Rattus norvegicus: one gene and its partner. The protein of the gene in region 1 purifies or fractionates together with the protein of each later gene. This does not show direct contact. Links are inferred from orthologs where the notes say so. Each region holds a gene or a part of one and is shown on either strand. Other genes may lie near its edges. The genes, in order: Kdm5b and Pax9.

Region 1 (3,227 bases):
GGACAAAGTTGTGGCTGGTTTTTGAGATAGGGTTTCATAGAGCCAGGGATACAGGTGTGAGTGAGCCTCCGTGCCTGGCTCGTGACAGTTACATGCCGTCTGAGTAGCTTGTCTTACCCTATCAAAGCTTAGTAAAGAGTTACACAAGCACTGAAAGGTGGTATGATCTGTTCGCTTGCAGAGAAAACACGGTTTGTTTCCCAACCTCTGTGAGGTCAGTCTGAGTTAACTTGGGTAGTTGAATGGCTTTGTTTCTGTGAGGGTGGAAGGCCAAAGCCTCGTATCGTAATAAGCTGTTTCTCTTCCATCAGGTGTCTCAACCTCCTGGCACAACATCCTTTTCATTGCCGGAAGACTGGGACAACAGAACCTCATATTTACACTCTCCCTTCTCTACCGGTCAGAGTTGTATCCCCCTTCATGGTTTGTATTTTATTTTACACTATTCCTAGATAGGCCTAGGCTTTGTAGTAGATGATCTGGTATTCTAAAGAACCTCGTGTAACACGAGCATTCTGGAGGCAGAGGCAGGGTGATTATGGGTTCAAGGCCTCGGGGATACAAAGCAAGGAAGACCTGTTACTGTACATTTTCTAATAATGATGTTCATATTTGAAGATCTAATGTAAATGTAAAGGATACCAGGATGCATCGGCTACTCTGATTTATTTAAGGATAAGAGATAATCCAGTGCCATTTACCACCAAGGACCATGCATTCAGGGCCCATGCTAAGTCGTAGATGCCAACCTCGTTTGCGACTTCTGGCAGATATTGAAAGTCACTCATTTTAAATCTACCTCCTTTCCTCTTCCCTTCTGGGTGGCCTTAAATTCATTCTTTAGTCAAAATTATCTCTTCTTTTAACATTGTTATTTTGTGTGTATGGTGTTCTGCCTATGGTTTGTCTGGACCATGTGCATGCAGCGCCTACAGAGACTGTCTGGGACTGGAGTTGTAGACAGTTGTGAGCCACCACGTGGGTGCTGGGAATTGAACCCAGCTCCTCTGGAAGAGCAGCCAGTGCTCTTGATTTCTGAGCCATCTCTCCAGCCCTGGAAAATGATCTTGAAATCCTGGTCCAGGCTCCTCTTACCAAGTGCTAAGATTACAAGTGCGCGCTCTCAAACCTGGCTTTCTCCTCTTCGTGTGTATGTGTGTGCAACACGGGCTTCGTTAGGTAATGTTGGCCACAAACTCCCCGTGTAGCTGAGGGTGAGTTTGAGCTTCTGATTCTATTTCTAGTTCTGAAGTGCGGGGATTAGAAGCGTGTACCACCATTCATAATCCTCGTTTCTTCAAGAGTTCTTTTTCTCGGTGTTTAGTCATGTGGTCCGAGCTCCTTGCTCTCCTCCAGTTGGTCATGCTCCGGGTGACAGTGAAATCTGTCGGTTGCGATGGAGTGGGTTTTCCCCTGTAGCCAGAAGTATTAGGGAATCTACTTTAGCCTCCCTTTGTCGTATTGTGGTTTAGGTACATTAAGTAAACCTAACAAAACTGACTACAGTTAGAGGAATGGTGGAAGGCGGTGTGGAGATGGTCTTCTGTCCCTCACAGGCTTACCAGTGCTTGTATTAAATGTCTCCATCCCCATTCTGATTGGATGTGGCTGTCAACAGGTTTGAGTCCAGAGGTGAATGAATTGCTGATGGAAGCCCAGTTGCTCCAGGTGTCCCTCCCTGAAGTCCAGGAGCTTTATCAGACTTTACTTACGAAGCCAAGCTCTGCTCAGCAAGCCGACCGAAGCTCACCAGTCAGACCCAGCAGTGAGAAGGTGAGTGAGCCTCTGAAGACCTGCCTCGGTGTTGTACTCATGTCGTTCTAATGATTTTACAGAGGCGATGGCGGTGTCTCTGAGCCACAGGAGCGTACAAGCTGTCCACCTCCCAGGTCTACTGGACAAGGACACATTGCACACCTTTGCCAGCAGTTTGAGTGTCACAGCTTAGATCGGGGTCCTCAATCTTTACATCTTTTTTTTTTCCTCTTTAAGGGAACTTTTCTTACCTCTCCCATATGATAATATTGCGAGAAGTAGGGTTATCTTCCTCTATAGAAGCATTGCTATAAGGATGAAAATATAATTGTAGCTGAAAGAGCCTTTTGTTAGTAAATATTTTAAAGATGCTAGATAAGAGATGCTTTCCATTATCCCTCCCAACAAGTAGGTGGATGCAGCCAGTACTGCAGGTGTAGGGCTGAGGGTGCTTACCCTGACAGAGACTCGGTAGTGTCTCCCATGTCCCTTTCATGTGTATTTTTGTGTGGTATGTTTATATGTGCAAACTCTCACATGTGCATGTCCAGGTGCACCCACCTCACACGTTGATTCTGAGTCGTGGATTGCTCTCCAGCCACCTGATTCTCTGAAATTGGATCTCTGAATTGGGCTCAGAGATAGCAGATAGCCAGGCAGACAGGCTACCACAGCCACTGAGTATTGACATGGATTTGGGGTCCTCTCTTGCTTTTATGGCGGATGCAATAACTTCTCTCCAGTCTCTAATGTCCCGGGTCTCTGCACTGTTAAGGAGCTTCTGCTCCCTTCTAGCTCTGGGAGGAGCCGTCACACAGAGTGCCCCCGAGAATATAATCAGGATGAAAAACATACTAGGGAAGCCTGAAGCCACAAGGAAAAAGATCCTTACGAAAGGTGCCCTGAAACACTGATCATAGCCCACCTAATCATCTCACTCCTCTAAGGGTTGTAAGAGGCGTCCTTCACAAATGCTTGGCGTAGCCCACCTCACTGAAGGATTTGGGGAAAGATGTGTCTGTGTGCTCTCAGGCCTCCTTGAAGGTTGGTTGTGTCGTTACTGCCCTTTCCCCGTGTTAGCCCCAGCTCAACACAGTGAAGACCCAGGCTGTGAAGATGGTTTCAGTGGTTCGGATCAGTGCATTCCCGGGATCCTTTGGTTTCTCATTTGCATATATTTCTCTAGTTGCATCAGTTTTAGTAACGAACAGACTGAATGCTAAAATTGAATTTGCCATCTCCCACCCAGAACGATTGTCTTCGAGGGAAACGAGATGCAATCAACAGTCTTGAGAGAAAACTGAAAAGACGCCCAGAAAGAGAAGGCCTTCCCAGTGAACGGTGGGATCGAGTTAAAAAAATGCGGACCCCTCAAAAGAAGAAAATCAAACTGAGTCACCCCAAGGACATGAACAATTTCAAATTAGAAAGAGAGCGTAGCTATGACTTAGTCCGGAATGCTGAAACTCATT
Region 2 (3,819 bases), on another chromosome or scaffold:
AAAACACAGTAATTAGTTATAACGGCAAAAGCCCAAAAGTATCACAGGCAAATTTCTTCAGCTTCCCTTTCCCTAAGACTTTCAAGGTTTGCTGGCCAGAGAGACAAATGGTACGTGAGTTAACTTTTTATCAGAATATGTTGACAACACTGTGTATGTGTTTGGGGGGGGGTGTTGTAAAATTAAACTTAGCTTTAGAATATTTCAAGAGAAATACACACATATGCAAATCCTGTGTGTTCTAAGTTCTTAAGCATTTTTATGTAATTTTACACCAAATTAATCTCTAAAGTGAGGTTTTTGTCTCCTTAACATATCTTTTGTCATAAGAGTATCCACTGATTCATGTTGTGCTTAGAAACTCTGAACGTTTTATGATCCTGTGTCATTTGAATTATCTACCTAAATGGCAGAATGGAATAACATTTCAGTAAGAACTGTTTAAATATTAACTTGACATAAGTATCCTTTTATCTGGGGGCCTGTTCTCTTAAGTATTATAATATTTAGAACAACATTTATTTGTCCACCCATTTTCCTGAAGTTATTTGCTTTTATGAAACATTGTTTACTACTTTAAAATTCTTCGTGAGTGATTTTTAGTGAAATGGCATTCACTTGAAATGCTATTTATTTTAAATAAGTTGCAAGTTTAGTTCTGAAGCATATTTTAAATTAGCCCTTTCTAAACAAGCTTCACTGAGAGATTCAAGAGAGGGAAGTGAAAGTAGCTAGGAAGGTTTTCGATGAGGAAGCTGCTTTTTATGCAAACGGGATGGATTGACGGATTGTGGGAACTGGGGCTGATTTTGAACTCAGAACTTCATGATGTGATTCCAAGACAGCGCAGAGCTCCTGTTAAATACCTGCTACTGTTCTCCAGGCTTTCTGTACATTTTCCATTGTTTGTCATAGATGCTTGGTAGGATGTTTCTTACTATAGATTTTCTAAACCATGAATATTATGTGTATCACTTGTAAAAAGTCTCTCACTGCCATTTTTAACCACAGGGGATACTTAATGAATGTTTCCTAAGAGCCTTAACATTGTACTGACTCTGACTTTGGAATTACTAGTTCCTTATTTTGAAAATGAAGAAAGTCTAAGAAAATGAAGAGGCTCTAAATGGGTAAACCGCTTGCTTAAGAAGCTGTGGTGGGTTACCGAGCTTTTAATCATGGCGCACACCACCGCTCAGTGAGCTGAGAGTTATAGGCAGGTCTTTGCGAAAGAAAATGGTGAATTTGCTTATAGATACCTAACGGGTATTCTTTACAGTGGAACCAGACTTAGAAAAGCGGCTTGCTCTCTCCTTGCTGTTTTTGGTAATATTTGCCAGGAAATTAGCTACTAATGAATTCTGACAAACCTTGAGAGAGACGAGGAAATCAAAATGCGATTTATTAGCGAAAATGGTTAGGATATCCGCCCAATAGATAAAAATAATAAATTCCAACAAATATTATAACTGATTTTTGAGAAGACACTTTAAAAAATTTAAGGCTCTAAAATAAGACTAAGTACGTTGAGGCTTTGGAGGTCTACTTCGGGAATAAGGCACACTGCCTTGAAGTTTTGCCATTTGAGTTTTGAACTCTTCATTCTAGCATACTGACGAAATTTGGACTCACACTTTTGTGTGACTGTTGCTTCATTCTTCTCAAGGAGGAGAAAAAAAAAAAGAAAGAAACACCAGTGTTTTAAATTTTCTTTCAGAGAGTAGAGGGAGGGACGGGGAGGGGGGGGCAGGAGGGGGGAATTAAACGGTCCACAGCCAGTCCGTATAATTTGAGGTTTTCTCACTAACCTCCCCTGGGAAATTACGATGTGACCTTTAATCGGGAAATGGTAACTTTATTACGTTTATCTGGTTGCCCCTCTTCCATTCTCACCGGACAAGCTGATGTCTGGAAGCACGGGGGAGCTGTCTGTGCACATGACCCCGCAGCCTCCCACAAGCCTTGCGACTCCGGCCTCCAGGCGCAGCCCGCTAGCCGGGCGCTCGCTGCTCTGAACCCCAAAGTCTGGCCGTGCCGAAGCTCGGCCTTGGATAGACTGAACCCGGCTGGGCTGGAAGGTTTGGAGCCACAGGCGCGGCGGGATGCTAGGCTTTAACCCAGGCATCAGCCCAGACTCAGCCAACCCGGGATCCATCTCCGGCCCCAGTGGGTCGGCAGCCACTTCTCCCTCTTCAAGGCGTCCCTCATCTCCAATCCCCAACAGCAGGCAGCCCGCCGAGCTAAGCCCTCTCCTCCTCACCTGGCCGTACTTGGCTTCTTGCTCCAAGGCTCCCTTCTCCAATCCATTCACTGCGTGCGGGGCTGCAGCAGAGAAGTTGTTGCGGCCCAGGCTGCTCCACTCCTCCACCTTGGGGCTGTGGTAGGGGGAGCTGTCGCTCACTCCTGAGAAGGTGGAAGGGAGATTTCAGGCGGGGCTCAACCCGCGCGCCCCCTCCTGAGACAAGACCCGAATCCCCTACCACAAAGGTCCTAGGCTAAGACCTTTGGTCCACTCCCCTGCACTAGGCCTCCTAAGGACGCTGGGCCTAGGCGCAGACTCCTCTGTTTTCAGGCTAGGGCCTGGAGAAGTTTTAATGGCCTGAAAGTAGGCCTCTGAGTTAAGTTTCACCCACTCCTGGCGGATGTTTTTTTTTTTTTTTTTTTTTTTTTTTTTTCCTTTCTTCGTTTCCTAAGGCAGCATTAGATTTTCTTTCTTCCTCCTTGATCTCCCAGGGAACGGATTGAAAGAGAGGAGTCTTGTTTTGATTTTTGTTTGTTGTTTGTTTGTTTGTTTTTCCCAAACAGAAGAAAAAAATCCAAACCTGTAAATGGGATATTTGTTCCTTACCTCTGTCCCTACTGAAGGAGAGTGGCAAAGACATGACCAGTGGGGAGGACTGATGAGGAAGAGAGGAGGCCTGGCCCAAGTGTGACCCGGTGATGCGCAGAAACAACCTGACAAATGCTCACTACACTGTGGGGATCTGATAGCTATGTCAATAAGACAGAACAAAAGGCCCGCAAAGTCCTTTGCAAACAAATAACTGAGCGATGCCCACAATACCTATGCAAAATGTAAGTACACAGATTCCCGCATTGTATGGATTCAGGACTACCCTACATCGCCACTGCCTGCTAAATAAGTAAGGGTATATGCCTATTCTTTTTAAATAACTAAGTCTGGAAATACCGCGATTGTCAACGGTGGAATTGTAAAGAATGTTCTTTTTTTTAGGCATCAGATAGAGAAAATGAAATAAAGTGTAAAGAAAATGAAAGTAGAATTTAACGTTAAGAAAGGGAGCAAAACCATCTACCAATCTTTCTGTTCTTAAAGGAGATACAGACCCCCCCTAAAAGATTTTCATAACATCTACAGTTTGCATATGGGGGAAAAAAGATATTTGAAGATTGCATGCATCTAATTCTGCTTCTGGGCCCCATGTATAGAAGTTTGACAGTGTCTTTTATACTTGATTTTATACACTCCCATCTGATACAGGTGTTTCAAAGAGCGGTCATTTGGAGAAATTACCCTTTTACATGCACAGATTTGTCAGAACCCTGCTTGTTTAAAAGTGACATCACAAATAGACAACACTTATCTACCCGGAAGCATCACTGCCTTCTCTACTCCAATTCCTCCCTACCTGACATTCGGTCTGGTTGCAGGACTATGCAGAGGTGAAAAGTTTTTTTTTCTACTGTCAGCCTATTTTCATTTTGTCTCCCCCTCCAAAGACAAAGATTGTGTTCCCATTTTTGTACCAGGAAGCCATGACTGATTCACAACTACTGTCTGACGCTATTTGCTGCCGT

Evidence for each region.
Region 2: the proteins of Kdm5b (region 1) and Pax9 purify together in Homo sapiens (affinity purification with western blotting, with the first as the bait; 3 studies listed by BioGRID). This does not show direct contact. The link is inferred for Rattus norvegicus from reciprocal best matches to the Homo sapiens genes KDM5B and PAX9.

Annotation. Positions count from the first base shown.
Region 1 is NC_086031.1:48,620,262-48,623,488, forward strand, and holds part of Kdm5b (lysine-specific demethylase 5B), read left to right. Parts: intron 1-311; coding exon 312-423; intron 424-1,618; coding exon 1,619-1,773; intron 1,774-3,004; coding exon 3,005-3,227. UniProt on the Homo sapiens protein: Histone demethylase that demethylates 'Lys-4' of histone H3, thereby playing a central role in histone code. Does not demethylate histone H3 'Lys-9' or H3 'Lys-27'. Demethylates trimethylated, dimethylated and monomethylated H3 'Lys-4'.
Region 2 is NC_086024.1:79,924,776-79,928,594, reverse strand, and holds part of Pax9 (paired box protein Pax-9), read right to left. Parts: intron 2,404-3,819; coding exon 2,261-2,403; intron 1-2,260. UniProt on the Homo sapiens protein: Transcription factor required for normal development of thymus, parathyroid glands, ultimobranchial bodies, teeth, skeletal elements of skull and larynx as well as distal limbs.